3 linked regions of the Macaca fascicularis genome follow. The protein of the gene in region 2 purifies or fractionates together with the protein of the main gene of each other region. This does not show direct contact. Links are inferred from orthologs where the notes say so. Each region holds a gene or a part of one and is shown on either strand. Other genes may lie near its edges. The genes, in order: USP12, PHLPP2 and USP1.

The links.
Region 1: the proteins of PHLPP2 (region 2) and USP12 purify together in Homo sapiens (affinity purification with mass spectrometry; 3 studies listed by BioGRID and IntAct, with this or other methods). This does not show direct contact. The link is inferred for Macaca fascicularis from reciprocal best matches to the Homo sapiens genes PHLPP2 and USP12.
Region 3: the proteins of PHLPP2 (region 2) and USP1 purify together in Homo sapiens (affinity purification with mass spectrometry; 3 studies listed by BioGRID and IntAct, with this or other methods). This does not show direct contact. The link is inferred for Macaca fascicularis from reciprocal best matches to the Homo sapiens genes PHLPP2 and USP1.

The regions. Positions count from the first base shown.
Region 1 is NC_088391.1:7,174,372-7,185,348, forward strand, and holds the start of USP12 (ubiquitin carboxyl-terminal hydrolase 12), read right to left. Parts: upstream 7,130-10,977; 5' UTR 7,002-7,129; coding exon 6,900-7,001; intron 1-6,899. UniProt on the Homo sapiens protein: Deubiquitinating enzyme that plays various roles in the regulation of the immune response and inflammation.
Region 2 is NC_088394.1:68,689,961-68,700,396, reverse strand, and holds part of PHLPP2 (PH domain leucine-rich repeat-containing protein phosphatase 2), read right to left. Parts: intron 9,099-10,436; coding exon 8,944-9,098; intron 7,041-8,943; coding exon 6,894-7,040; intron 6,497-6,893; coding exon 6,266-6,496; intron 4,140-6,265; coding exon 3,937-4,139; intron 1-3,936. UniProt on the Homo sapiens protein: Protein phosphatase involved in regulation of Akt and PKC signaling.
Region 3 is NC_088375.1:172,259,615-172,270,050, forward strand, and holds the start of USP1 (ubiquitin carboxyl-terminal hydrolase 1), read right to left. Parts: upstream 9,172-10,436; 5' UTR 8,913-9,171; intron 8,480-8,912; exon of another isoform or gene 8,073-8,479; intron 5,955-8,072; 5' UTR 5,889-5,954; coding exon 5,719-5,888; intron 4,021-5,718; coding exon 3,900-4,020; intron 3,345-3,899; coding exon 3,240-3,344; intron 2,383-3,239; coding exon 2,222-2,382; intron 810-2,221; coding exon 118-809; intron 1-117. UniProt on the Homo sapiens protein: Negative regulator of DNA damage repair which specifically deubiquitinates monoubiquitinated FANCD2. Also involved in PCNA-mediated translesion synthesis (TLS) by deubiquitinating monoubiquitinated PCNA.

The sequences.
Region 1 (10,977 bases), on a different chromosome or scaffold from region 2:
TTGGACTTCTGGAATCCAGAATTGTATGATCAATTTCTGCTGTTTAAGCCATTCAGTTTACGGTATCTGTTAGAAAAGACCCTAGGAAACTAATACACCATGGTATAAACTCCAGGTAGCCTACACCCTCAGAGCCACTGCCTTTTTAAAGAGCTAGCGTTGCACAATTTTACATGTAGAATAATACCCAATCTAAGCGAAACACAACTCAGGAAAGGAATGCATATCGCCATTTTATTTTAGTTTGTTTCCAATTTAGTTATAAATGTCTTATATGAGAATGCTTGTAATATAGTAATAAATTATCAGCTGAGATATAACAATTATGGATTAATCTAAACATTCTAGCTAACAAAGTTGACACATTATAACTGAGGTGTCCACAGTTTTTTAAAAAATACTTAACTGAAAAATATAGGCATTTAGCATAAACTAGAATTTAAGAATACATGTCATTTAAAAAAGAAAAAAAAGTGTATGTCATAAGCACAAAAACATCAACAAATAAAACACTTGATAATAAAATGCTGAAAGTCAAGACAAAAAGACATAGCAAGAAAACAGGATGCATCACTTACAAGGGAAACTCCAGTTAAGACAAAAAGCTGACTTCTAAGTAGAAACCCTGGTAGCTATGAGTCAGTGGGATAACGTATTCAAAGCGCTCGAAGAAAGGAAACAAAAAAAACTGTCAACCAAGAATGCTGTATCTGCCAATGCTTCCATCTAAATGTGAAATAAAGACTTTCCCATAAGGGCATGGTGGTTCACACCTGTAATCCCAGCACTCTGGGAGGCTGAGGACAGAGGGTCACTGGAGCCCAGTAGTTCAAGACCAGCTTAGGCAACACACGGGGACACCATCTCTACAAAAAAATTTAAAAATTAGCCAGGCGTGGTGGTGTGCACCTGTAGTCCCAAGCTGCTCAGGAGACTGAGGTGGGAGAATCACTTGGGCCCAAGAGGCTGAGGTTGCAGTGAGCCATGATCGCACCACTGCACTCGGCAACAGAGCGAGACCTATCTCAAAAAAAAAAAAAAAAAAGACTTTTCTAAAACAAAAACATAACAGAAGTTGTTGCTATGCTAGCAGACATACCTTACAAAAAATACTAAAGAAAGCTGTTCAGGCTAGAAGCAAGTGTTCTCAAACAGTAAGTCAAGTCCACATGAAAAAACATACAAGAGTACCTGTAACAGCAACTGTTATTATAAAGGACGCTGTAAATGTGGGTTTTTTTCTTTCTTCTCTTGATTTAAAAAGCAACTGTATAAAACTATATATATATTATGGGCCAGGCGTGGTGACTCATGCCTGTAATGCCAGCACTTTGGGAGGCCGAGGTGGGCAGTTCACGAGGTCAGGAGTTCGAGACCAGCCTGATCAACACAGTAAAACCCTGTCTCTACTAAAAATACAAAACCTAGCCAGGCGTGGTGGCAGGCGCCTGTAATTCCAGCTACTCAGCGGCTGACGCAGGAGAATTGCTTGAACCCAGGAGGCGCAGGTTGCAGTGAGCCAAGATAGCACCACTGCACTCCAGCCTGGGTGACAGAGTGAGACCCCATCTCTAAATAAATAAATAAATAAACAATAAATTTATATATATATATTATAAATAGTAACAGCACAGAAGAGGTAGGCTGAAATGGGCTAACATAAAATATCAATTGAATAAAAAAACCAGAATCACAGAATCATTTTAATACAAACACACACACACACACACACACACACACACACACACACACACAAATCAAGTGACAAAATCCAACACCTTGTCATGATAAAACACTCAACATGACAGAAATAGAAAAGAATTCCTCTCTGAATACAGTAAAAATTGTATTTACGGGCAGAATACAATGGTTCATGTCTGTAATCCCAATGCTTTGGGACGCTGAGGAGGGCAGATCAATTGAGCTCAGGAGTTCAAGACCAGCCTGGGCAACATGACAAGACCCCATCTCCACCAAAAATACAAAATATTAGCCAGGCGTGGTGGCACACGCCTGTAGTCCCAGCTACTCAGGGGACTGAAATGGAAGAATCGCTTTCACCCGGAAGGCAGGGGTTGCGGTAAGACAAAATCACAGCACTGCACTTCACCTGGGCAACAGAGCAATACCCTCTTAACAAAAGAAAAGGTTAACTGACGGAATTAAGAAAATAAAAGAGGAAAGGAGCTCCTCAATCTGACAAAAGGTATCTATAAAAAATTCACAGCTAATATCTTACTTAACAGTGAAAACACTGGATGCTTTTCCCCTAAGATTAGGAAAAAGACAAGAAAATTCCCTCTTGTTAATTTCTATTCAATACTGTACCATAGGTTCTAGCCAGAGCAGTTGGAAAAACAGGCAACCAAATTTGAAAGGAAGAAGTAAACCTATCTTTATTTGTATGTAACATGATCTCATATACAGAAAACCCTAAAGAATCCACTAAAAAATTACTACTAGAATAAATGAGTTCAGCAAGGTTGCAGGTTCTAAAATTAATACACAGCAATCAATTGTATTGATCTCATAAAACTATGGAGTAGAATAGTGGTTACTAGAGTAGAGGCTGGAGATGTGGGGGGTGGGAGGAGTAGCCAAGGGTTGGTTAATGAATACAAAATTACAGCTGGATAGGAGGAGTAAGTTCTAGTGTTCCACAGCAACAGTCCCCAATCTTTCTGGCATGAGGAACCAGTTTTGTGGAAGACAATTTTTCCATGGACTAGCGGGGGATGGTTTCAGGAGGAACCTGTTCTCAGATCATCAGGCATTAGATTATCATAAGGAGTGTGCAACCTAGATCTCTCGCATGCGCGGTTCATAACAGGGTTCACAATCCTGACAATCTAATGCCACTGCTGATCTGACAGGAGGCGAAGCTCAGGCAGTAATGCTGCTCACTGGACACTCACCTTCTGATGCATAGCCCCATTCCTAACAGGCCACTGATCAGGGGCTGGAGATCCCTGTTCTATAGCACTGCAGGGTGACCATAATTAACAACAATTTATTGTATATTTTCAGATAGATAGAGGAGCAGATTTTGAATATTCCCAGCACAAAGAAATGATCAATGTTTGAAGTGATGGATATGCTAATTTCCCAATTTGATCATTACACATTGTATACATGTATCAAAATATCACACTATATCCCACAAATATGTACAATTATGTCAATTTAAAATAATAAAAGCAAAAAATTAACTGCATTTATATAAGGTTATCCTGAAAATCTGAAAATGAAAATAAGACAACTCCATTCACAATAGCATTCAAAATGATTTAAATAAGTAGGAATCAATTTAACAAAAAAAGAGAAAGACATATAAAAGAGAAAAACATTTCAGAGTTTCAAAACTCTGAAAACTACAAAATATTACTAAAAGAAATTATAGGAAATTTAAACAACAGAAAAAAAATACCATGTTCACAGACTGGAAGACTTTAACACTTAAAATGGCAATACTCCACAAACTGATCTACAGGCTCAGTGAGATCCCCATCAGAATCCCAGCTACTTTTATGGAAACTGACAAGCTGATTCTAAATTCATATGGAGGTCGGACCCAGTGGCTCACCTGTGTAATGATCACTTAAGTCCAGGAGTACGAGATGCAATGAGCTATGATTGCAATCATGACAGTGTGGTACTGGCAGAGAGGCAAACATACAAATCAATGAAATAAAATTGAGGATCCAGAAACTCATACATCTATGGTCAAATGATTTTCAACAAGGGTGCCAACTCCAAACGACAGAGAAAGAATAGTCTTTTTAACAACTGGCGCTGGGACAAATGGACAGTCACATACAAAAGAATGAAGTTACCTTTACCTCAAACCATGTACAAAAAACTAACTCCAAATAGATCAAAGAAGTATATGAACAGCAACACCCAGAAAACTCTTAAAAGAAAAACATTGGATTTGGCAAAGGATTGACATGGGATTTGGCAAAGGATTATAAAATATGAATATGACACCGAAAGCATGAACAACAAAAGAAAAAACTCAGGCCAGACGTTGTGGCTCACACCTGTAATCCCAGCTCTTTGGGAGGTCGAGGTGGGCAGATCATTTGAGGCCAAGAGTTCAAGACCACCCTGGACAACATGGCGAAACCCCATCTCTACTAAAAATACAAAAAAATCAGCTGGACATGGTGGCACGCAACTGTAATCCCAGCTACTCGGGAGTCTGAGGCACAACTGTTTGAACACAGGAAGTGGAGGTGGCCGTGAGCCAATATCCAGTGACACAGTAAGACTCTGCCTCCAAAAAAAAAAGGAAAAGAGAAAAAAAAATTAGATAAATTAGACTTCATCAAAATCAAAATTAAATTTTGTGCTTCAAATGGCACCCTCAAGAAAATGAAAAGACAACCCATAGAATGGGAGGAAATATTAGCAAATGACATAACTAACAAGAAACTTGTATCCAGAATATATAACGAACTCTTACACCAAGGCCAGGCAGGGTGGCTAATGCCTGTAATTCCAGTGCTTTGGGAGGACTAGGCAAGAGGATCCCAAGGGCCAGGAGTTCAAGACCAGCCTGGGCAAAACATAGCAAGAACCCATCTCTACGAAAAGTAAAAAATTAGCCAGGTATAGGGGTATGCACCTGTACTCCTAGCTACTCCGGAAGCTGAGGTGGGAGGATGACTTGAGAACTGGAGTGGCAAGGGATGATCATGTCACTACACTCCAGCCTGAGTAACACAGCAAGATCCTGTCTTGAAAAAACAAAAACAAAACAACAACAAAAAAAACTCTTACAACAATTAAAAGACAACTCAAAGAACAGCCAAAGAATGCAAATAGATATTTTTCCACAGAAGATACACAAATCGCCAATAAGTACATAAAGAGGTGCTCAACATCATTATTCATCAGGGAAATGCAAATCAAAACCACAATGAGATGAGATACCACCTCACACCCAAAATGGAATGGCTACAATCAGAAAGTCAGATAACAAGTACCAATGGGGATGCAGAGAAATGGGAACAGCCATACACTGTTGGCAGGAACATAAAATGGTGCATCTTTGGAAAACAATCTGGCAGATCCTCAAAAGATTAAATGGCAATTCCACTCCAAAGTACAGACACATGGGAAAACAAAACATATGTGCATAAAAAGCTTGCACCCCCAATGTTTACATTAGTATTATTCAAAATAGCCATAAGGTAGAAATGGCCAAAATGTCCATTAATGAACAAATAAACAAATGTAGTATATCCACACAATGGAACAGTATTTGTCCATTAAAAGCCATGATGAGGATGTCATCGAGCCTGTAGATCAGTTTGTGGAGTATTACCATTTTAAGTGTTAAAGTCTTCCAGTCTGTGAACATGGTATTTTTTTTCTGTGTTTAGATTTCCTTTAATTTCTTTTAGCAATATTTTGTAGTTTTCAGAGTTTTTACTAATACATATCACAACATAAACGAACCTTGAAAACAGTGCCAAAAACCATATACTCTATGATTCCATATACTAAAGTCCAAAGCAGAAAATTATATAAACACATAAAGTCAATCAGTGGTTGGTTTGCCTAGGGCTGGAAGGGGGAGGGAAAGAAAAGGAGGAGGAGAGAGATGATAGCTAAAGGGTATAAAGTATCTTTCAGGTGATTAAAACTGACTGTGGTGATAAATGCAAAACTCTATCAATATACTAAAAGCCACTAAATTGTACACTTTAAATGGATGACTAGTATGGTATGTGAATTATATCTCAATAAAGCTGTTTTATGAAAAAAGAGTTTGTGCCAGGTGCGGCGGCTCACGCCTGTATTCCCAGCACTTTGGGAGGCTGAGGCAGGCGGATCGCCAGGTTAGGAGACTGAGACCATCCTGGCTAACACGGTGAAACCCCGTCTCTACTAAAAATACAAAAAATTGGCCAGGGCATGGTGGCGGTCGCCTGTAGTCCCAGCTACTCAGGAGGCTGAGGCAGGAGAATAGTGTGAACCCAGGAGGCAGAGCTTACAATGAGCCAAGATCACACCACTGCACTCCAGCCTGGGTGACAGAGCAAGACTCCGTCTCAACTTGGAGTCTCTTTTGATGAATTGTTTATATCTGACATTTAAAGCTCAGTGTCCTGGCCAGGCGTGGTGGCTCACACCTATAATGCCAGCACTCTGAGAGGCTGAGGCAGGCTGATCACCTGAGGTCAGGAGTTCGAGACTAGCCTGGCCAACATGGTGAAACCCTCTTTCTACTAAAAAATACAAAAATTAGCCAGGTGTGGTGGCAGGCACCTGTAATCTCAGCTACTTGGGAGGCTGAGGCAGGAGCGTCACCCGAACCCAGGAGGCAGAGGTTGCAGTGAGCCAAGATCATGCCACTGCACCCCAGCCTGGGCAACAGAATGAGACTCTGTCTCAGAAAAAAATAAGTAAATAAATAAAGCTTAAGGTCCAAAACTCAAATTCACTTTTAACATCTTCAATATAAATTTTGTTTTTAAGATAAAACATATATACATATGCATACAAAAACATAGTAATGAAATAGAAATATTTTCCAGTTTCAAGTACTATGAAATCTAGTAACAATAAACTCCAAAAATGGGAATGGCAAGAGTGGATATGTCACTTCTGTAACAATAAAAAGCTGTGCTATAATCCATTAATCGGTACATTAGAGTTACAGATCCTGCTAGTACTTGAGAATGAAATGTTCAACCTTTCCCCTTCCACAAATCACCCTCATGGAGCTCATACACCCACTTTTCTGATACTGTTCTGTTGGATGTGCATGTAAGGCTCATTTCCCCAAAAAGACGTATCTTCCTTAAGAGTAAGAATCACTCATACTTAATAGTTAACCCAGCACAGCCCATACACCAATATTCACTCATTATTCTTTTCTGTCTCCTTACCATGTCTCTTTTCTTAGCCTCTCTTGCTCTGTTGGTTTTCTTCAGACTTACAAGCAAAATGAGAAAAACGAAGTCCCTAGAAGTCCAGGTTCTATGTTTCATCCTATTTCTCGTAAGTTTACTGAGGTATCAAATCTAATTATGGCAGTCGTTTAATAAACTTCAAAACAAAAATATTTTGAGATCTGGCAATCCTCAAATTAGAGCTTCTTCTGATACTATCTTTAACCATTAAAAATCTATTTCACTCTACTAAAATTCTACTAATATCACCCACAGAAATTTCCACATCTTTCCACTTTGCCTAAGAAAATGTCACAGTTGCCCTTTTCTGCCCTTTCTTTCTTAGGAAGCACACAGCCTAAGGCCTTCTCTCCAAACCTCCAAGATTATCTTTTAATGAAGCCCAACCATCATTTAAATTACTATACTGTAAATATAAAAGGTTCTGATCTAATCTTAAAATCCTAAAATACATTTTACATATGCTCTGTTGAGCAAGGCCATGTAGTACAGCTTTTATTCATTTCATCCATTTTCATAACCTCTCATGCTACCAAGCCTATATTTACTCATCAAAAGTTGTAAAAGTATTGGTAGCTAATTTTCCTGAATGTTCCACTGCATCTTTACTTTTCTCCTGCTGAGATTGGTAGTGTGCTAACAGTACCTGAAGTAAAAATTCTTTTACTTCCAAAACTAGAACAGATAACCACCTCTTAATGTTCACTTAGTACAAAAGGTATATGTTTACAAACCCACTCAACTTCTTCCCAATCTTTCACCACAACCCAAAATGCATTAAAGGCATATCTCGAATTGATTTTCACCTCTAATATATTTTTTAAAGCTAAAAAAAATGTGCATATTGTGGTAGTAGAAAAATAACTGCCTCCCTCAAAACGTCCACATCCTAATCCCCAGAACCTGTGAATTCAAGTTGCAGAAGGAATTAAGGTTGCTAAAATCAAACGACCTTGAGAGATTATCCCAGATTACCCAGGTCAGCCCTATGTAATCACACGGGTCTTGTAAGTGAAAGAGGGAAGCAGGACAGTCCCTGTCTGAGGGAGGTAATGAAAGAAAGACTGGCCAGTCATGGCTGGCTTTGAAGATGCTGCAGGGGCCAGGATCCAAAAGGCAAGGGCCGCGTCCAGGTGGCAAAGGCAAAGCAGCAGTCCCTCCTGCAGCTCCAGGAAAGAACACAGTCCAGCCAAGACCTTGGTCTCAGCCCAGCCAGACCCACACAACCTTTTTTTTTTCTTTTAAACAGAGTCTCGCTCTGTCGCCCAGGCTGGAGTGCAATGGCGCAATCATGGCTCATTGCAACCTCCACCTCCCAGGTTCAAGCAATTCTCCTGCCTCAGGCTCCCAAGTACCTGGGACAATAGGCACAGGCCACCATGCCCAGCTAATTCTCTGTATTTTTAGTAGAGATGGGGTTTCACCATGTTGGCCAGGATGCCCTCGATCTTCTGACCTTGTGATCCACCCGCCTCGGCCTCCCAAAGTGCTGGGACTACAGGCGTGAGCCACTGCGTCCGGCAACCTCCACAACTTTAGAATAATAAATTTGTGTGATTTTAAGCCACTAAACTTATGGTGATATGTTACAGCCTCATTGGAAACTAATGCACACACAAATTGGTCCATTTTAAACATTATAAATAGAAAAACAAATAGAAATAAATGCACTCTAATATCCCTAAAATCTGAAAATTAAAGTAACTGTATCTGGTTAGTTCATCTAATTTTCAGAATCCTGTGCTTAAGAATTTGAAGTTGCTTTTTTTAAAGCATAGCAGCAGTAAATATATAACCCTGAGGTGGAACATATTAAAAAATGGAAAACAAAAGAAAAACTACTTAGTTAAGTTTTAGTGTATAATCAGCTAAATCTTATTAATTATAGTTCAGATGCAAAAATGTGTTAGAACTTCATGTACTCATTCACTTGTAATATCACAAAATTAAGTCTAGGTGTGGAAAAGGTTCAACTTAATCTGTAAACTTTAGCCTGCCTAAATGTATGATTTTGGGAATACAACTATGAAAATATTCTGAAAATGTAAAAAGTTTATTTCTGTGTAGCTTCAAATACAACAAAGAATAGATGTACATTCTCTTTCAATGTTTTTAAAAATATTTCTTAAAAAAACCTATAGAAGCAGTTAAAACTATATTCTGAAGCCCTAATGAAACACTGGATCTACGCAATGATTATCAACAGTTGCTAAAAATCATTAGGTAAAAAGCTGCCAGCAGCTCCATAACAGAAGAGTCGTTCTGACAATGCCAGCCTCATCATTATAAAGAGACACCACATTCCCCTGCAACCCGGAAGTACACATCACCTATGTTTTTCCACCACCACTTGTACACCAACTTCTGCAAGGAAAATAAAAAATAAAAAAAATAAAAGATCAAGGAATCTGGATCAGGCCTCTTGATCTACCAAATTACAGAAAACATACAGGATGGAAGAACACGTTAAACATCACAAAGGGGATGCAATCAGCAAAGTGCAGAAAATGAAAAAAAGCTATGGGACAATCTGATTTCCTCAAAAGATAAACTGTAATAAAAAAGAAAGAGGGATCCACATTTAAGAGATATAGTGACAAAACATAACGAACATTATGGATCCAACCACGATCATTTGAGACAATCAGCTAATTTCAACAATGATTGGATATTTATGAGTATTAAGAAAGAGAGAGGCTGGGGGCAGTGGCTCATGCCTGTAATCCCAGCACTCTGGGAAACCACGACGGGCGGATCACCTGAGGTCAGAAGTTTGAGACTAGCCTGGCCAACGTGGCAAAACCCCGTCTCTACTAAAAAAATACAAAAATTGGCCAGGCATGGTGGCAGGCGCCTGTAATCCCAGCTACTCGGGAGGCTACGGCAGGGAGAACTGCTTGAACCTGGGAGGTGGAGGCTGCAGTGAGCCAAGATCACGCCACTGCACTCCAGCCTGGGTGACAGAACAAAATTCCGTCTCAAAAAAAAAGAAAAAAAAGAGAGAGAGAGAGACAGAAAATGATTTTGTGGTTGTCTTTAGGGGGAAGAAGCATCTACAGCTACATTAGTAACAGCATGATCCGGCGGCAAAAGCACTAAACTAAATATGGAGAGGTCTCAGGCAGAATCCTAAAATCAAGTCACCGGAGTCTGTTCATTTCCTTAGCTGTAAAACAGACTACTCCTCCCTACAGGCCCACCTCATAGATTTTACAGTTTTTGTTTGGAAAAAATGAACTAATAATAACAAAGTAATCTGAAATGTAAATACTGACATTGGTGAGGTTTCTTCACAGCAGGTATGTTACAAAAAATATTCTGTGTAACAGTTATTTTCGCTAAAGTAATCATGTTTTCTTGGTTTTTTTTTTTTCCAATAAATTTTCTTTTTCTTTTTTCTTTTTTTTTTTTGAGACAGTCTCATTCTGTCGCCCAGGCTTTTTCAATAAATTTTCTAGAAAACCACTTCTGATCCCTTTTTGCTTGACAAGTTTTAGAGACATTAAGCTACAAAACAGAACGCTGTAGTTGAAATGGACCTAAGATCATACAGAGGTATACCTAATCCCGTCATTATATAGAGGTGTACATAATTCCCCATCATTACTTTGGGAAAAAGAAAAGTGGATGTTCTAGGTACGATCTCTCCCACTTTCCTTTACCTGCTGCATCAGAAGTGCTTTTCATTAGCTCATTTTTAGCAAAAATGAGTTCTGTAAGCTACAAATGTGATTTTTAACAACATATACATGCCTTTTTTAAAAAAAAACTACCACAAGTTTATAGGAGATTTTTGCCTAAATCTATATAAACCTAATCAACTTAACAAGTTTGAGGACAAAATTCCTGAAACATTAAACCATGTAAGTAATTTTAATCACTTAACCTTATTTCTTTCTTTCTTGTTGTTTTAATTCACTTCTCGCTTCCTTGCCAGGTCCTCTGTCCTCTTCATTTTTCTCCAAGTTACCTTTCAAATTCCACGAAGCTTCCCTCCCCACCACTCCCAAAAGCCTTCCTTCTCCAGCTGATCCAGGCCTCACTCCAAATACCA
Region 2 (10,436 bases):
ATACAGAAAAGTGCAACAATTCAGTAAATTTTCACAAACTGAGCACACTAATGGAACCAACACCCACATCAAGAAACAGAACATTACCAGTTCCCCAGAAACTGCCCCATGTTTCCCCTTCCAGTCACTGCCCCTCAAGGGTAACATCATCCTGACCAAGTACCAAATTACTTTTGCCTGTCTACATAAATATATGCAAGCAGTAGGTATAATTACTTCTGTCTATCTACATAAATATATGCACACAGTATGTATAATTTACTTCTCTGGCTTCATTCACTCCACAGTATGTTTACAGGATTTGTTTATACAGTTGCATATAATTATAGTTCATTCATTCTCATACCTGTATAAAATTATTTTATGTGAATATGCCACAATTTATTTGCCCATTTTAGAGTTGATGGACATGTAAGTCTTTTCCAGTTTGCAGTTACTATGAATAGTACTTCTATGAAAATATTTGTCCATGTCTTTTGTGAACTAATATAAGTCCTTATTTTGAGCACAAGCCTAGAAGAGGCACTGCTAGGTAGAGGGTATGTTTCTGTTCACCTTAGGAGATACTACTGAACAGTATTCCAAAGTGGTTATACCAATTTACACTCCAACAGCTGCCCCTGGGATTTTTAGTCCATTCTAGTCATTCTGGTAGGTGTGTAGTGGTGCCACATAGGGGTTTCAATTTGCATATCCCTGATGACTAGTCAAGTTCAGTGCTTTCCCTATATTAACTGATCACATTTAGATAATTTCTTTCTGTAAAGCAGAGTTCTTGACTTTGAGGCATCAAAACTGCAAGTTTTTATGTATTTAAGTATTTAAATACTATTAAAATACTTAATTTATTTGTCAATACTTAAATATTTACAAAGAGTAAATATTTGGGACTGCATGCCTGTTGATGAGGTCTTTTCCAGTAAGGCCAGGAATTCAGACTCTTTTTTTTCTTTTTTTTTTTTTTTTTTGAGACGGAAACTCACTCTGTTGCCTGGGCTGGAGTGCAGTGGCTGGATCTCAGCTCACTGCAAGCTCCGCCTCCCGGGTTTACGCTGCCTCAGCCTCCGGAGTAGCTGGGACTACAGGCGACCGCCTAGTTTTTTGTATTTTTTTAGTAGAGACGGGGTTTCACCATGTTAGCCAGGATGGTCTCGATCTCCTGACCTCGTGATCTGCCCGTCTCAGCCTCCCAAAGTGCTGGGATTACAGGCTTGAGCCACCGCGCCCGGCCTGGAATTCAGACTCTTTAGACACATTAAGGATAGGGATGGGCCTGATAACAAAAATCTCCACGGCTAGGACTTACTACAATGTCAGGCATCTATAAACAGCATAAGTCAACACTCACCAGTTTTAACACTCTTCTGACCAAGCAATTAATCTAAGCTATAATTTGAAGCTTCTATAACATAATAAAAGGCAATGCAAATAGAAGTCCTCAACTTTTATCTGTATAATCTAGTTTACAGATATAGAAAAATAAAGAGAATAAAATAATGAACCCTCTTTCACCTATCATATAGCTTTTAACAAATCTACATTCTGCTTTATATGCTGTAGACCTTTTTTTTTTTTCTTTTTTGAGACTGAGCTTTGCTCTTGTTGCCCAGGCTGGAGTGCAGTGGTGCAATCTTGGCTCACTGCAACCTCCACCTCCCAGGTTCAAGCAGTTCTCCTGCCTCAGCCTCCCAAGTAGCTGGTATTACAGGCACGCGCCATCACGCCTGGCTAATCTTTTCTATTTTTAGTAGAGACAGGGTTTCACCATGTTAGCCAGGCTGGTCTTGAACTCCTGATCCACCAGGTGATCCGTCCACCTCGGCCTCCCAAAGTGCTGGGATTACAGGCGTGAGCCACCGTGCCCAGCCCAGACTTTTTTTTTTTAAATAATTAAAATACCACACATACCAAGAGGTAAACATCATCCTGAATATGGTTTTCATCACTCTTATGTATTCTTTCATACTAATGGCATACTTTTAGCTAAGAAAACAGTATTTCTGTGTTTTAAATTTTGATATAACTATCACAACATACATTTAATTATGTACTTTTCCTTGCTCAAAAAAAAGTTTGCAATTTATCCATATTACCATACAAGGCTTTAGTACATTCATTTCCATTGCTGTGCAATATTCTATTGCATAAATATATCACTACTGATTTACCCATTTTCCTATTAAAAATCCTACTTTTAGGCCAGGTGCAATGGCTCACGCCTGTAATCCCAACCCTTTGGGAGGCTGAGGTGGGCAGCTAACTGGAGGTTAAGAGTTCAAGAACAGCATGGCCAATATGGTGAAACCGTGTCTCTACTAAAAACATAAGAATTAGACGGGCATGGTGGCACACTCCTGTAATCCCAGCTACTCAGGAGGCTAAGAGAAGAGAATCACGTGAAACTGGGCGGCAGAGGTTGCAGTGAGCCAAGATCAGGCAACTGCACTCCAGCCTGGGCAACAGAGCTAGACTCCATCTCAAAATTCTACTTTTTCGTGCTCACAAAAAGTGATAAACAATCTGGTATATATCTCCTTTGCACATGTGAGTGTCTCTGGGATATATCCCAAGCAGGGAACTTCTAGAATATGGTATGTGTGGGTCTCGACATCTCTAACACTGTCACGTTGCTTTCTGGGGTGGTTTTACCAGTCACCTCTCACTGGCAGTGTGTGAGTGCTCAGAAAGATGCTTCTCCTCACCTCCGGAAACACTCAGAATTACCTTTTTTTAAAAAAATTTGATGAGTATAAAACGTTATTTAAATTTGCACTTTTTCTGACAGTAAAATTTAACCTATTTTCCTTTCCTTCCTTAAACACATACTGAAAGTAAAGAATGGTAAAGAACTTTCCATAAAAAGAATGGCCTCAACAAATATGAGGACCTTTTCATTGAAAAATATTCTTAGGGCAAATCACTATTGAAATCAGGGGCTTCTCATTCTAGCACTGAGGCTACACAAGCTTTTAAATCACGAATTGGCAAACTTGTTCTGTAAAAGGCTGAACAGTAAACATTTTAGGCTTTGTGGACCATATGACAGTCTCTCTTACTACTATTCAACTCTGCCGCTGTAGCACAAGAGCAAGAATGTATAAATAATATGCAAACAAACCACTGTGGCTGCATTCCAGTAAAACTTCATTTAGAAACATAGAAACTTGAATTTCATAGTAATTTTCACATGTCACAAAATTATTCTTCTTTCTTTTTTTGAGATGGGGTCTCACAAGTCTCACCCAGTTCTCTAATGAGAACACACATGGCATGCATGATCTCAGCTCACTGTAACATCTGCCTTCCAGGTTCAAGTGATCCTCCCACCCCAGCCTCCCGAGTAGCTAGGAGCATAGGTATGCCACCATGCTGGCTAATTTTTGTATTTTTTGCAGAGATGGGGTTTCGCCATGTTGCCCAGGCTAATCTCAAACTCATGAGTTCAGGTGATCAGCCCACCTCGGCCTCCCAAAGTGCTGGGATTACAGGCGTGAGCCCCCATGCTCAGTCACAAAATTCTCCTTTTGACTTTTTTTTTAACCCAGCCATTAGAAAAATGTAAAAACCATTCCTTATGGGCCATACAAAAAGAGGTGGCAGGCCAGATGCAGTCCTGGGGTATAGTTTGCCAACCCGTTTTAGACCATTATTGATGCTCTGTTTTGAACATGCTTGCCCACCTCCCCACCACCACTACTCTGTGGAATGCCTCTTATTATGCTCAATTAGTAAAGCTCAAAGTAACCTGCCATGTCTTTTTATGCACACTGCAACCACTTAAGTATTGACAGCAAAGTGAAAAGATAAAGTTTTGCCTCAATGAGCCACAAACCCCATCCTGCAGAGTGGCTGAGGAACACCACAGATGCCACTGTTCTTAAAAAGCACTGACAACAGCTGAAAGAGAAAAAACAAAAGGCTGGATAGAAAACTCACTGTTGGAACTGGCATAGAGGGTCCGAAGGGAGAAGCCACTGAGTGTTAGCTCCCTCAGCTGGTTCCGCTCACAATGCAGCTGTTCCAAGCTGCATAAGGAGCTAAGATCCAAGTCAGTCAGTCGGTTGTCCCGCAGATCCACGTGGGTGATGTGTTTATTTCCCTCCAGATTTTCAATAACCATGGTTTTCAAATGGTTCATCCTTAATATGCAGAAACAAGAAAATAATCAGAAACAAGAGTCTATTAAATGTGCTTACCAGAATAAAAAATAGGACAGGCATGATCCCTTTCTCCGTTTCCTTTTCTTTTTGTTTTGAGATGGAGTTTCGCTGTGTTGCCCAGGTTGGAGTGCGATGGCGTGATCTTGGTTCACTGCAACCTCCGCCTCCCGGGTTCAAGTGATTCTCCTGCCTCAGCCACCCAAGTTGCTGGGATTAGAGGCACCCCCACCATGCCCAGCTAATTTTTTGTATTTTTAGTAGGGATGGGGTTTTACCATGTTGGCCAGGCTTGAACTCCTACCCTCAGATGATCTGCCCACCTCGGCCTCCCAAAATGCTGGGATTACAGGTGTCAGCCACCGTGCCCAGCTCCCTTTCTCTGTTTCCTAAACAATTTAAGAATTTCACTACTTGCCTCATTTTGCAAGATACTATATAAATAACTACAGTTGATGAATAACTCAAGGTACAGCTAAGTCAGACAATCCAGATTGGCAAATACATATACAAACTAATAAAGAGAAGGAAAAAAGAGGCCATATCCTGAACAAGTTAAACACTTATATCCAAACACCTAATAAGGTCAGGTGGGCACTAAGTAGGACAAAGGAACAGGAAGATGAACACAACCTTTTGAGTGAGACAGTAGCAAAACAGTCACAACAGTACCATGTCCAGAGTATAAGGATAGAACCATACTTCCTCCTATTGCTATGCCTGCTCTATCTCTAGTGCTAAGGTTCACATAAAATTAATTAACAGACAAGGAAATAATCTGTGTATGTATATATACATATACACACACACATATATACACACACACACACATATACCGAAGAGTTCAAAGGTAAATTATACAAAATGACCTCTGAGTTCTTTTCTGTACAAGTATATGATTTAATTTATGCAGGTCTGTTCTCACTTTCCTGTATTTCTATAAATCTCTCAAGTCTCCAGTGTGGTTAAAAAAACAAAAACAAAAACTCTCTGTTACTGTCTTTACAAGGTCATCAATGGTTTACTGTAAATTACAGAACACCCAATAGGTGTCTTTTTACCAGCTTCAATTAGGAAAAGGTTATGACTAGAAAATAAAACCCTCATAAAAGGTTCTTAGTAATGAAACCTTTAACATTTTAATTGTAATACAATGGATATCAAGAAGAAACCTAATGACTCAACAGAAAAATGTCATTTATGGAAATCTACAAACTACTAACATACATATAAAAAGATGTTCAACCTCACTGCTCTGTAAATAAATGTTGATTAAAACAATGAAATACTTGTTTCAATCTACTAGACTGATGATAAAGAAAAAGAAATGCTAAAATCCAACACTGACAAAGATATGAGAAAATGGGAATTCTCCTACAATGTTGGAGGGGTTGGGCACAGTGGCTTACACCTGTAATCCCAACACTTTAGGAGGCCAAGGCAGGAGGATTACTTGAGCCAGGGAGTTCAAGACCAGCTTGGGCAACACAGTGAGACTCCATCTCTACAAAAAATTTAAAAAATAAAAAATATACATTGATGGGAAGGTGAGCAAAAACAACCTCTGTCCAAGGCAATTTGATAGTCTCTATCACATGGTACAACTACATGATCCTGAATCTCTCTGCTACTGAATGATAACTAAAGTCTTACTATACCTTTGAAAATACACATTTCTATACTGTTCAAAACACCTAATGTTACGGGCCAGGCATGGCAGCTCACACCTGTAATCCCAGCACTTTGGGAGGCTGAGGTGGGTGGACTGCTCGAGTCCAGGAATTTGAGACCAGCCTGCACAACATGGTGAAACCCTGTCTCTACTAAAAATAGAAAAAAAATTAGCCAGGCCTAGTGGTGCGCACCTGAAGTCCCAACTACTTGGAAGGCTGAGGTGGGAGAATCGCCTGAGAACAGGAGGTCAAGACTGCAGTGGGCTGAGATCGTGCCACTGTATTCTAGCCTGAGTGACAAAGTGAGACCTTGTCTCAAAACAACGACAACAAAATTTTAAAAACCCTAATGTCTTAAACAAATCTTCATAAAGAGAAGACATAAAGGTCCAACAGAGTCAATTTAAAGGAAGCTGCGGTAAAGAATAACCTTACCTTAAATCCACATGCTTGATATGGTTCATCCTATTCAGCACCCCTAAGTTCAGGACTTCCAGGCAATTTCCTGCCATAACCACTTTATCTAACATAGTGAGTTTCTCATAAACCTCAGGAATTTGACTAAAGTTGTTGAACGAAATTCCCAAAGAGGAAAGCTGTTGTAGATTTCCCAGTTCTTCAGGTAAAGTAGTCAGAAAGTTGCCATCAAGACAGAGGGTTTGAAGACTACAGGAAGAAAACAAAACAAGTCTACTTTATGGAAGGTTTCACTGGAATGCATAGAATCAGAGTTACGGATTCTGATTTATGTCACTAATTATCAATCCAAAAATAGTAGTGTCCTAACTCTCCATCTATACAGACTTAATAGATGACTTACACATAACTTACACAAATGGTCACCCCAACATTAAAAGAGTTAAGACCTCTGCTGTTGAAGCTGAGGGATCAGTCCCTGCTACAGGCAGGTAGATCTATGATGTCAAAAACTGCTGCTGACTAGAATCCTAGTAAGTACATGATTTATTTCACTGCAAGAGCTCACAGTACTACCTTCATTCCAAACCCCAGGCAAGTTCCTTATCCTGCAAGGGAAAAGATGAATCTAGTAAAAGTTACTTACTTTAGCAGATTGCCAATTTGACTTGGTAGGTCACGAAATCCATTACAGGAAAGGTTGAGCTCAGTCAGGGTAGAGATCTCACATAATAATATAGGAAACAACCCAAGTTTATTATGGGACAAGTTCAGGCCCTTCAGCTGAGAAAATCTAAAGAGCAAAGGCAAAAATGGATACTGCATTTCAATACATCTATTACTATATCTTTACGAGGGACATCAATGGCCTTTGATAATCCATTTTAAATGTCTATAATAGAATTTATTCCAAAAATACTTATTGAGCACTCGCTACACATCAAACATTGAGTGGGGACAGAGGACACCAAGATGACTAATGCACAGTCCATGTGATGAAGGAAACCAGGTCTAGCATTACAGCTCTCTTTTCTCTTTAAAAAGGTAGACAATCTTGAAGAACAGCTCATGCTGGTATAATTCTTTTGTATTTCATCATACTTGATATGCTTGAAATTTTTCATTAAATTTCTACATGTAATACACAAAAGCCTTGCAAGAATTAATCAACTCATAGAGCAACAGCTAACAAATATGTAGATCAAATCCCATTTTTAATAAGCAACTTCTTTTTTCATACTGAAATTATGTTGGCTCAAATGTCACATAAAATGAATAAACCAGTTAGAGCTTGAAAATAATGAATGTGACAGCATTTTACCATTATGTGACCTGATACACAAAATAGTAACTTTTAGAGCTTCTATTTTGTTCATGGAAGTAGAAGTATCTGTATTGTCTTACCCAGAGATGGCATTGTTATAAAATGGATCTCTTGGGTTTCTTCTTGATATCCATTGTATTATAATTAAGATGTTAAAGGTTTCATTAGTAAGAACTTTTTATGAGAGACTCTGGTAATTCCACTAGGGAGTAGGATGTTTTGTTATTATACAAGTGCAAGATGGTAAGGCTGAGATGTTCTCCATGATGATGATCAAGCACTTGCTTCTACATAAGAATCACCTGCTTCTAGATACCTCACTCTAATGCTTCTCTTTGTCAAATTTTCAACTTGTGATTTTCAGATGACCTAACCGTGACTGCTAATTATTCCTTTGGCTTGGTGCTTTAAATTCAGAATTTATGATCCAGCCCTCAAACTGGACTACTTCTTTTTCATAGCAACTCACAAAGAAATGCTAGAAACCAACTTCCTTAAAATTACTGCTTGTTTTCATTTTTACAAGCCAATATTATTAAAATAACTACCTCATTACTAAGTAGAGGCTTACACTTGAAAAACTTTCTAAAACAATTATCAGATGAGATAACAAAACACAATATTTTCTGGATATTACTCTAGAATTATTAGCTATTAAGGAAGGATGTAAAATATGTAATTTTAATGTATATTATCTTTTTAGTCACCATCTAATTTAAATCACTTTGAATGCTTTAATTTCCTATTTCTACCTTCTCCTCCAGAAGCCCAGACAATTACTTACAACACATATTTATTCACTGCGTCCATTTTTAAGTGGAGGAGTGAGGTGGGATGAGTGGAGGGTGGGAATGGGGTATATATTTTAATAAAGGAGATGGAATAACAAGTAGGTCATAGTACTGTAGGGCTAAAATGGTTCCCGTATTAGAAGAGAGAAGCATCACAGCTGACTAAAGGCTTAAGAGTTGGCAGTGGAAGGTACAAAGGGAAGATACAGCTTTATCTCTCAGAGTGAAATTCTTATAATTAGGCCTATCTCCTTTACGTTATTTAAATTTTATACTTCTAATTCAAAAATTTCCCATATACGAAATCTCTTGATGTAACTTGGAGGCAGATCACGCATCAGTGTCAATGATTTACATGAAAAGATCACCCAGATCAACAGAAGCTCACAGAACATTTACATCAATCTTCTGTTTTATGGGGGAAAAGGGCAGGTAGGAGAACTCCATGAATAAAAATTTTTACTTCCTCTTGAAAAGGGAGGGGAAATTTTAGAATATACATCCAATGGCAGCAGGTAGAAGTCATAAGATACTGATTATGAGTTGGTTTTAACAGGTCTGGAAACCCATTCTCCACATACTTGTAGAGTGTGTCGAGGCCTCCGGGTCTTTCTAACTGCATGAAGTTGTGTCGCAAGTTGAGGTAGGTAATATCTTGACTATAGAAGAGATGCTCAGGAACCTCCTCGAGGCTGTAACACGAGAGATCCACGGTACTGATTCGCTGAGACACCACCTGAATAACGTCAAAGAGAAGAGCTTTCTGAGCTAGTACTGGATGTCTATCACCCAGCAAAGAATGGAATGGCATTTACACAAAAAGACACTAATTAAAAAGACAGGAAAAAATAAAAAGGCAATAAGATCCAATTATTCATTTATAAATACCAGTTAATTTTTACTTTTTCCTAAAACCATAAGCTACTTGAAAAACAAGGGTACAAGTTAAAAGTCTCCATAAGTACAAGGTAAAAAAAGAAAAACACGTATCATTAAAGATGGAAAGTTAACACTTCATGCAGGAAGTAATCTTCTTGTTTGTTTGTTTGTTTGTTTGAGATACGAGTCTTGCTCTGTCAGCCAGGCTGGAGTACAGTGGCATGATCTCGGCTTACTGCATCCTCCATCTCCTGGGCTCAAGCAATTCTCCTGCCTCAGCCTCCCAAGTAGCGGTGATTACAGGCATGTGCCACCAGGCCAGGCTAATTTTTTTATTTTTAGTAGAGACGGTTTCACCATGTTGGCCAGGCTGGTCTCGAACTCCTGACCTCAGTTAATCCACCCACTTCGGCCTCCCAAGGTGCTGGGATTATAGGCCTGATTCACAGCGCTCAGCTGCAAGGAGTTATCTTAAAATGATTCGAAATAACTGGACAAAACTTTAAGAGGCAGTGTGATATGAAAAGACATGGCCTTTTGTAGCCACACTAGCTCTGCTACTTATCAGAGGTTTCTTCAACTGCTTTGAGGATAAAAGTAAATAACCAAGCACATAGCACACTGCTAAACACGCAAAAGACACTAAAAAAAATTAACTTCTCTTTAAAAGGGCAGAAGAATAGAATAGCTACTTAAAACTGGGACCAGTTTTATTCAGAGCAGATTTTATAGCCAACACAATATAACTATAAAATAATAAAATCAAAACAAGCTTCGTAGTTCTATAACAGTATGCCAATATAATATGGGTTATAAAAATTGATCTAAAAAAAGAAACAATATATCACTAGAAAAGTCATTCATGGCTGGGCGTGGTGGCTCACACCATAATCCCAGCACTTTGGGAGGCCAAGGTGGGCAGATCATGTGAGGTCAGGAGTTCGAGACCAGCCTGGTCAACATGGTGAAACTCTGTCTCTACTAAAAATACAAAGATTAGCTGGGCGTGATGGTACACACCTGTAATCCCAGCTACTCCAGAGGCTGAGGCAGGAGACCTGCTTGAACGCGAGAAACAAAGGTTGCAGTGAGCCAAGACTGCACCACTGTATTGCAGCCTGGGTGACAGTAAGACTCCATCTCCAAAAAAAAAAGAGAAGTCATTCATGTTTTGATGGTATGTCCTTATACTATA
Region 3 (10,436 bases), on a different chromosome or scaffold from region 2:
TAAGCATAGCACTTCAAACACCATAGTTCACATTCAGTGTTAAATTTCCTTCTCTTGAAACAATTTTAGTCAGAGATTATATGCTCCTACCTATCAAAGTCTAAGAATTATACTAACCTTTGTTTATGGGTTTAACTTCATTAACATTCACAGGTGTAACAGTATTTCCTGGAGATTCAAATCCACAAGCATGAGTTGTGTTATCATTTTCATACTTCCCCAAGTCCTCTTCAGGATCATATTCATTTTCTTTAGATTGTCCTTTGGCTCCTTGGTTTGTTGTTATTTTTCCCAGACTACAGAATTTAGAAAGAATGCTGGGTTGCTTAGTTGCAGACTTTAACCAATTTATTTTAACTCTTGATTTCTTTTGTGAGGGTCTTGGACTCTCATTTTCAGAAATACACTTGGGAATTATTTTAGGAGGAATCTCTAATGTATCACTTGTAGCTTTTCTTTTTGATCTAGTTTGTCTCTGGTTCTCTTCCAATGACTGGTGTTCCTTGGATACTTTAACTTTTTTCTTCATGTTACCAAATTCAGTGTCACTTTTTCTTTTCCCATTTCCTTTTGGGAGTTTTTCTTTACAGTCTTCAGAATGCCTCACACTGTCCATCTCCATGCTGTTAATACCACTCATTTCCTCTTTCTGATGAGGTATTTCTTCTACCTTAGTAGGTAATTCTGCCACATTTTTTACTTCTTCTTTTTTTAGGAGTTGGCATGTTTCTTGAATGTTTCCCAAAATACACTGTAATACTTCCTGTGCATCATGCTGTAGATAGCCTTCATACATAGGGTTGAGTTCCCTATAAATAAAAATTTCCATTTCATCTATTCTAGTTTTGAAGATACAGTACATAAAATCTATATAGAAATTAATTCATGTAAGGAAAATCATAAATTATTTCATTTTTTAAATCTCAAGACATTTATTCAGCACTAATTTGGAATTTCTTACCTGTAACTAAAAGAGTAACTTGTACCCTACTTTCATTATAATACCTTGATCCTCTTCTAAATATAATAACTAATACTTAGATAATGCTTACCATATACCAGGTTTTAGTCAAAATGTTTTTTTATCTATGTATACATTATCTTCACAATAACCCTATGAGGTACTATTATCCCCACTATTTACAGATATAGGTACTAAGGCACAGAGAGGTTAATTAACTTGCCCAAGATCACAGAACTACTTAGGATGAAAAGCCAGTATTCAAATCAGCACGCTCTTGGCCACCACGCTACAATAGCTTTTTTTTTTTTTTTTTGGACAAGAGTCTTGCTCTGTTGCCCAGGCTGGAGTGCAGTGGCACAATCTTGGCTCACTGCAACCTCTTCCTCCCGGGTTCAAGCGATTCTCCTGCCTCTGTCTCCTGAGTAGCTGGGACTACAGGTGCGAACTACCACGACCAGCTAATTTTTGTATTTTCAGTAGGGGCGGGGTTTCACCATGTTGGCCACACTGGTCTTGAACTCCTGACCTCAAATGACCCACATACCTTAGCCTCCCAAAGTGCTGGGATTACAAGTGTGGGCTGTGACTGGCCTACAATACCTCTTAATTAAGGTATAGCAATAAATTGCACCTAGTTCTATTTTTAAACTGAATGCTTAAGTGATTGTTTTAAAGACTTGCCCTATTAGTATAATTTTATTTGAATAAGGCTATTTTATATATTGTTTCATTTTTAAGAAAATACCAAAAAGCAATCTAATCCAGTTAGCCAACAGTTCTCTAATCCCATATAACAAAAATAGAATATTTAGAATTTACAGTTCTTACACATATTTTGAATATAGTCCTATAATTCCTAATGTGAAATCCTTAGGACCACACATTTAGAAATTCAGACATTTTCAGATGCAATGATAATATGGCATATAAGTAAAATATTTATCACCGACATGATATGGGAGTACTCTATAATTAAATACATTACTACTTCTATAGAAGAATGTATGAATATTCACATTAGAGATAAATATGAATGACTATAAAAAGCCTCATATAATATATTCAAATCTAACAAATTTAGCACCAAATATATGAAAAAAATTTCCAGTATTCAGAGCCTCTGAGATACAAAGGACTGTGGACCTATAGTTTCTACTTTCCTTGCCCTTTTATTCCTGTTTCTTCACATACCATTCTCCTCCAAGGATATAAACAAGTAGTTAAATTGAAACCCTAAAATTATATTATAGGCTATACCTGAGTGTGTTAAGCAGTCGCCTTGGCTGAGTGGCAAGTTCATCAGTATATTTCTCTGGATTTAAGAGAAAACTAGCTTGGAGCTGTTCAACCGAAATGATTAAGGACTGTAAACTGCATATCAATTCATAACTTGCCAAAGAATCTTCTTTGCAATTTCCCTGTCAAGAAAGAAACACACAAACCAATAATTTTATGAACAAATTAAGTACCTTCCCCCTTTGTCTGTGTCTCACTTAAGAATACTAGGTTTTCTAAGTTGCATTATAGCACTAATTTTAAAGGATATACAAATAAGCCTTATTTTTTATTTTTTTGAGACAGGGTCTCTGTCACCCAGGCTGGAATGCAGTGGCTTGATCGCAGCTCACTGGAGCCTCAACCTCCTGAGATCAAGCAATCCTCCACCTCAGCCTCCCAATTAGCTGGAACTACAAGCTCACACCACCACGCCCTACTAGTTTTCATATCTTTAGTAGAGACAGGGTTTTGCCATGTTACCCAGGCTGGTCTCAAAATCTTGCACTCAAGCGATCCATCACCCACCCTCACCTCCCAAACTGCTGGGATTAGAGGCATGAGCCACCACGCCTCGTCTTTTTTTGTAATTTTAAGAGGAATTTTTGAATTACTATTTATGTGACTTACAATGGTTTTTTAATTATGGAAGTCAAAGATTTCTTTAAATACTGTGTAGTTACTTAAATTTTAAGTCAATTTGAAAACACAATGGGTAAATAGGTTGTACATGGGTGTGACATATTGTGATTATAGTACACAATAATGTATAGTATACAAGTAACAAAAGTTTGATACACATATTACAGGAGCAAACAATCTGTAAAAGGGAATTATCTAGTTAGCTACCTTGAAAGAATGAAAAATAATTGCCTGACAATAGTTCGTTAACAGAGAAATAATCTTTGTCACCCACCCCCGCAGTCTCTTCATTTCCAGGCAAGTAAATTTCCATTAATTTACTTTTGCTTTTTACATTATTTTCTGTTACTGTTCTTACCTTGTCTTTTTGATTGGCTTCATCCTTTAGAGCTTCTTTCTTCCTTGAAATAACATTAAATAAGTGCTTTACTCCAGATTTAAAACCGGGACAAAAATATAATACCTATAAAAAGTGAGACTGTCTAAGTGTTCACTGAACAATATACGTAAAATCATTAAAACAACATCATGCTTTCTATAGGCCCTTTTAATGTGTAGTACCTAAAATTCTGAGATTAAGTTTTGTGTCAAAATTTGTTCTCCACTTCATCAGTAGTAGCCCAGTGTATTCCCTCACTGGCACAAAGCACTGAGTCTGGGCAGATATTGCTAAGACTTTAAGGTTACAAGAACACACAACACAAAGCCAACGTTATTTCCAAGGGATAAGATACGTATTACTGTAGCACCAGCAATCAGAGAAAGAAATTAAAGGTTTGAACTTCCACTTAAGGTCTACTCAATTTTGCTATCCCACCTTTATTTAGTCTATCACTTTCTCTTATCCCAAAGCAAGTTTAACAACATGCAACGTATTATTTTAGCCTGTTCTGGTTCATTTACAATCAAAGGCAAAGACAGTATGGACATTAAAGTCCTCCAATAACTCAGAAACATTAAATGTTACATTATTCTTTGCCTACTAAAGTTTTGTTATATAGCAAAACTGTCAATTTACCTGAAGTATACTATTAAGATAGCAAGTATTGCCGAGATTATTCAGTCCCACAAATGGTAACAAGTTTTCTCTCTTCTCACAGTTTATAGGTGAAGACTGTGCTGCAGGAACAACTTGATCACTATTAAATATAGAAGGGGGAAAAGATAATCAAGTAGTTATCTCAAAGAAACAAGGTGAAAATATTACTTCCATAGATTTAGTCTTTTCCCAAAAGTTGTATAATCTGAAAAGTATGTGAATCTTGTTCAGATGACATTTTAAGAAATACAGGCTCAAAAACTGCTATATGCCCAGAATGAAAGTTTTTAAAACATTATTACACATACCAAGCCACAGAACAATTCCCTTAAAAGGATGTTAATCCTATTTTACAGAGCAAAAAATTGAGGAACTGAGAGACTGTGATTTGTTTTACCTACTTTGACATTTTAATCAAGTAGTGTAACTGAACAGAAACCTGGGAATAAATTAACCATGGCAATATTTGGGAGAGGCTGAACTAAGAAAGATTATATTAATAAGAATTCAAGGAAAAGAAAGTCTATGAAGAAAATTATATGGCCGGGCGCGGTGGCTCAAGCCTGTAATCCCAGCACTTTGGGAGGCGGAGACGGGCGGATCACGAGGTCAGGAGATCGAGACCATCCTGGCTAACACGGTGAAACCCCGTCTCTACTAAAAAATACAAAAAACTAGCCGGGAGAGGTGGCGGACAGCTGTAGTCCCAGCTACCCGGGAGGCTGAGGCAGGAGAATGGGGTAAACTCGGGAGGCGGAGCTTGCAGTGAGCTGAGATCCGGCCACTGCACTCCAGCCTGGGCGACAGAGCAAGACTGTCTCAAAAAAAAAAAAAATTATTTAGCTATCTCTCACTTAAAAATAAAATGTTCAGAAGGTGAGTGTGGTGGCACTGAGATGTAATCCCAGCTACTTTAGAGGACTGCTTGAGCCCAGGAGTTCAAGACCAGCCTGGGCAACACAAGGAGACCCCGTCTCAAAAAATAAATACATTATTATTCTTTTACTTCTTTAACAACAAAAAAAAACCCACTAGGTCTTCCCAGTATTTTATTTTACAATTGCTAGCTATTATTACTCCAGCACCTCAAAGTATTTAGAAGTATGAATGCTGATAAACAAAAGGTTCACTCTCAAACAATCTCCTCAACTGGTTATTGATAGCTATTGGAAATTAACACATGGGACCAAATCCACCTTAGTCACCCAGCAGAGTGACTATATGTTAAACAGGGAAGCAGTACAGACTCCAGCTAGAGCTGCTGGTGGTGGAATAAAGTATTTCACTTTGTTCTGATTTATTTTCTGTAGCTAAAGAATTTATTTGCATCAAAAGCATTACTTATTTTTAAGTTTATTTCTATAATTTGCAATCGTATGCCTCCAACAGGTATGACTAGTCACATGACTACAGTTTAAAATGTCTTATAACCGTCAAGTCTTCTGAACCAAACAAATATATATACATATATATATAACCTTTTACCCCTACACAAATGTTTTGCACGACAAATAAATTTAAACTCAGAAAGACAATTTTAATCTATGAATATTTCTCCAAGTTAGTCTACATGGCTGAGCACAGTGTTCATGAGTTAAACATTATGGATGTGATCCCTATGGGGAACCACCAGTTTTGCTGTTCCTACTATAAACGGCTAGACTTGACTTATTAAGAAGTACACTGAAGTGTACTTTTTTGTGCCTCTATAGACTATCAAGTCAGAGTGGAGGTGTCAACCAAGTTCACTGCTGCTTCACTGTAGAATTTTTAAAGTACAGAAATGTAAGATACATACATTTCAGATGCTCTATATTCAGAAGCTTTTTCTTCATTTTCTTGAGAATCTGTGAAATCCAAAGCTCTCTTAGTTTCCTTTTTCTGAAAAAACTTTAAGGAAAGTCTGTTTTTCTTTGATGGGCTACCTCTTGAAAGTCCATTACTTTCACTAGGTATGACACCAGGCATTTTTTTCTCAAATCCCAAGGAGTTGTCAATAATTAATTTATAGAGGAAAGTTGTAATCAATTATATCTGTTAATCACAGAGAAAAAATTTCATTAGTTTTCGGTTATCAGTTTTAGGCAACAAAATCATCAATTTTGAAAACAAATTTACCAAGGGAATGGTACAAATTAGAAATTAATATTTGAAAACCTAATGCCTGCCAATAGGCACTCAATATTTATTGCTTAAATGAAAAAGCTTACCACACTATTCTTAAAGAACAAAAAATAGAAGCTACTGAATTTTTAAAATCAGTCTGCTATGGATTAAGGGTCGCATTACAAAATATCCTATTTAGCAGACCTACAGTAAAGTAGTGTAAGTAGTAAAAACTTAATATTTCATTATAATAATTCATTCAGAAAAATTGAGCACTATCACCTCTAATTCTCAAGTACATGGAAAGGATGAATGGAAAATCAAAGTAGTGCTGGACGATAATGAGTCCTCTCTTCCAATGCCTTTTCTAGTTATTAACATGAATACATGAAAATAAAGTACCTAAAAAGTTTATTAAAGTATAATTTGCATTCAAGGCATAGAGATGGTGTTAAGATATACCTAAAACCGTAAAGTTTTATTATCTTTCAATAATAAAACACATGCAAAGTTGAGACAGTGATACAAAACACTGTTGGATGCACTTTGTGTAAATCCAATTCTTAATGAGCCAGAAATCACAATACTCGTTTTCCAAACTTTTTTTAAAACTTAGGATTCCAAAAATAGTGCTTTGAGTAGGAAAAAAGATGATTTGGTTTGCCATTTGCAACTTTCCCACCCTGTTTTAAAGCAAAACTTTCACAGGAAAAAATATGGCAACATTTGTAGGAGTTACTAATATTTTCTACATCAGTCCTATTTTTCAGGACATGTGAGGAAAAATTATCTAACTAGAGTATTACCATAATAAAATTACTTAAAGCCCAAAACTTCAGCAACGAGTTTCAAATTTAAAATGCAGAGTAATAAAATGAACTACACAAAACTCACTCAAATTCCATCCTTAATAAGCATTTCACGTGGCTGACACTGATCTAGGAATTCACACTAAACTCAGCACTGAAACCATTTTTAAGACCCAAGTCAGGAAGAACTGGAAAAGCTGATCAATCTCCCCATTCTGTCTCCAACTTCACTTACTCTCCTATCCACCTAATGCTTCACCTAATGCTTCTGAGGAAGCGCTGTCTTCTAAATGACAAACTAACCTACGCTAAGTTCTCAGGGATCGCCAAGCATTAATGATTCTGATAAAATGTTTTTCTCGAGAGCCAATTCTAATGGATGACAGAAACTGGATCTCAAACCGACAGAGTAACCAGACTTCACAGGAGGGAAGAATGATTAGGCAGGTGAAATAGCGGATCGTCAGCTTAATCAACAAACCAAACCTCCTAGTCCCTCAAAGCAATGTTCACACCGAGAATGTAACATTTTGCCAGGTGCAGTATCTTCCGTGCTATTATTTCTTGCTCCTGGCTTTCCTTATAACTGGGGGGGGCTGTTACATGCAAAATATTTCTCCTGTAACTAAGTCAACTTTCGCAGAAAGCACGACGAAACGACCATTATCTGTTGACAGCGTGAATACTCAGTCCCAACAGTTTTAAATTCTTTTTGAGATGACACGACTCGATTCCGATTTTTCAAGAAAAATATACAAGGACATCTTCGCCAAGGTTTAAGACGCGGCGTTCTAAACACTTCTGGAAAAAGTGTAAGTGAAAGAAAATGCGCGGTAAAATTTCGCAATTACTGACCGATCCAGGGCAACCTGCGTGGAAACGTTTCTTTCTCCCCAACCTTCACCGCTCTCGGGAACGGAAAGGAAGCTGGAAGAACCAGCAGCGACTAGGCTGCCGGGCCGGGGGAGGCTGGCGGCGGCGTTCTCGGCCCACACCCCCGCGCCGGGCGCCCTCGCCGCGGAGTTGGCCTATTTACGCCCAGCCCGCACCTGCCTTCTCGCGTCCCGGCGGCGGCAAGACAGGCGCCCCGCCCGAGGCACACAAGGCTCCCGCTGGCAGCTCGACCAGGGTGCGAGGCCAACACGGTCCCGGGGGTCTCCCCGGCAGCTCCTCTCCCGCGCCGGCCGAACTTGCCCCCGCGCCGGGGCGCCGGCCCCTCCTCCCAGGCCCTCCTTACCTGGTCATGGCCCAAAGCGAGGTCCGCGGCAGTGACGCCGGCAAGTCCAACCCGAATGAGTGTGGGTGCGACAGGTGAGTCCCTGTTCCGAGTCCGCCGGGTCCCCCCGGCCCCAGGAAAATCTGGTCGGATCACCCTCCCCGCGGGGGAGTGACCATCCGCTCCCAAGAGCGGGAACCCCGACCGCCGCTCGGTCCCGCCTTGCACCGGCACCAACTACATCCCCGGAGCGGCGCCTATCCGCGCCCGCCCCGGGATAGCCAGGAGCGCAACAAGCAGCAGCCCCGCTCGCCGAGCGCCTGAACCGCTAGGGTCTTTCGCACTCCGCCACCGAGGGGAACTTGGCGCGTTTTCCTCAGTCTCAGGACCCCCGTGTTTTAGCCTCCGCCCGCGCCAGCGCTGCGATTGAACGTGGCGTCCTTTGAAATTGCCGGTTCCAGTCTCCACGCTGCAGAGACGCGAAAGGCAGGAGCCGTCTCGCGACGGTCACTCGCCCCCGGCACGCACGGGCTCCAGAGCCAGCTGGGACTGTAGCTCCCCAAGAGCCTAACGGGTTCCACAGTTTCAAACAGCGCAGGCAGAGAGCCGGGCAGCTCGTGCGGGTCCTCGCTAAGGGCGCGCGCGAGGTGCTAGCGGCCTGGCTGGCGGGCTCGAGCCTCACACCCTTTTTTTAACCATTCGTGCGCGCGAGTTGAGGGAAACGCGTACGGGTCGGGAGACGGGACAGAGAGCAGACGGGACGGGCCACCGCCTAGAGAAGGAGCCCAAATTCACCAATCCATGATGAACAATCCCCAAAACCGCGCCTCCCACCGCCCGGGGGAAACCAATCAGAAGTACCTAGACCAAAGCCAATTAGAAGGGCGGGAGCAGCAAGTCCCTCTAATAGCAAAAAAGAAGAAAGGTGGGCTCCAGCCAATCATTGTTCGACATACGGAGTGTTCCTCAGGCACGGCGCCCCTCCTTCCGCTCTCATTGGCGCTCGAGTGCGCGCTTTCGCTGCCGACTGTTGAAATCTTGTTTGGCGTTTTGTTAATCCTCGACGGTGGGACGCCGCGGAGGGTGCGGCTTCCGGAGCGAGGCCCTCGCGGCAAGCCCCGCCTCCCTTCGTGCGTACGCGCCCGGGCGGGGTGACCGAGAGAGCCGCTCCGGAAAATGGCTGCCTGGCTGCATGCCGGGGCTTCACCCGGGCTTTCGGTTTGGAGTCGCGGCCACACTAGGCCTAGGGCCATCCAATGAGACAAGGCGCTGCCACGGATAACGATACATTCTCAGGCGAATGCTGTAGAGCTGAGGCCCACTCCTCAGCCCCTACTCGCCTCATTTTCTCCTGTTTACCCCTCCCCTTCTCGGCCGCAGGAGGAAACGAAAGAACAGTTTCAGGCCCAGCTCCGGCCGCGGGAGCTTCCCAGGGTTCCCGCGCGAGCCCTCCCAAAGAGTTCAGGAGCGGCAGGCAGGCCTCATCTGGTTGTGCTTCCTTTTGTGTTTGTGTGCTTGCTCTGATGAGGTGACCTCAGGTCAAGTGCTGCAATTAAGCAGGATACGTTCAGCCCAGATCCATTTAAATCAAGTATTTTTAAGGTGCCTACTATGTGCCAGGCATTTTTCAAGGCGCGAGGGATGAAAGGCATTCCCTGTCATAAAGGAGCATTACATTCTGGAGACGGAGACATAAGTGACACTAAAATAAGTGATGGGTACAATAGCCTGGAAAGATCTCTTTGAGTTGACATTTGAGCAGAGCTGAATGAAAGCTGAGCGAGCCTTGGAGGAATCTGGGGGAAGAATGGTGCGGGCAGAGAGAACAGCAAGTTACAGACGTCCTGAAGCTTAATGCGCTTGGTGTTTTGAAAAGAAGCAAGGAGGCCAGGGCGCTTAGAGCACAGTGAATTTGGGAAAGAAGATGGGAGGAGATGAGATGAGTGAGACAGGCAGGACCCTGGGTAAGCCGAGTAAGGAGATGGGAGTCGTTGGATTATTCTGAGCTGGGGAGTGGTGGGATTACACGTTGACCTTCAAGAGTACAAGCAGGGCTGGGCGCGGTGGCTCACGCCTGTAATGCCAGCACTTTGGGAGGCCGAGGCAGGCGGATCATTTGAGGTCGGGAGTTGGAGACCAGCCTGACCAACATGGAGAAACCCCGTCCCTACTAAAAATACAAAATGTGGCGGGCGTGGTGGTAGGCGTGGTGGCGCAGGCCTGTAATCCTAGCTACTCCGGAGGCTGAGGCAGGAGAATCGCTTGAACCCGGGAGGCGGAGGTTGCGGTGAGCCAAGATCGCCACACTGCACTCCAGCCTGAGCAACAAGAGCAAAACTCTGTCTCAAAAAAAAAACAAAAAAAGTACGAGCAGAAAGGTCAGCC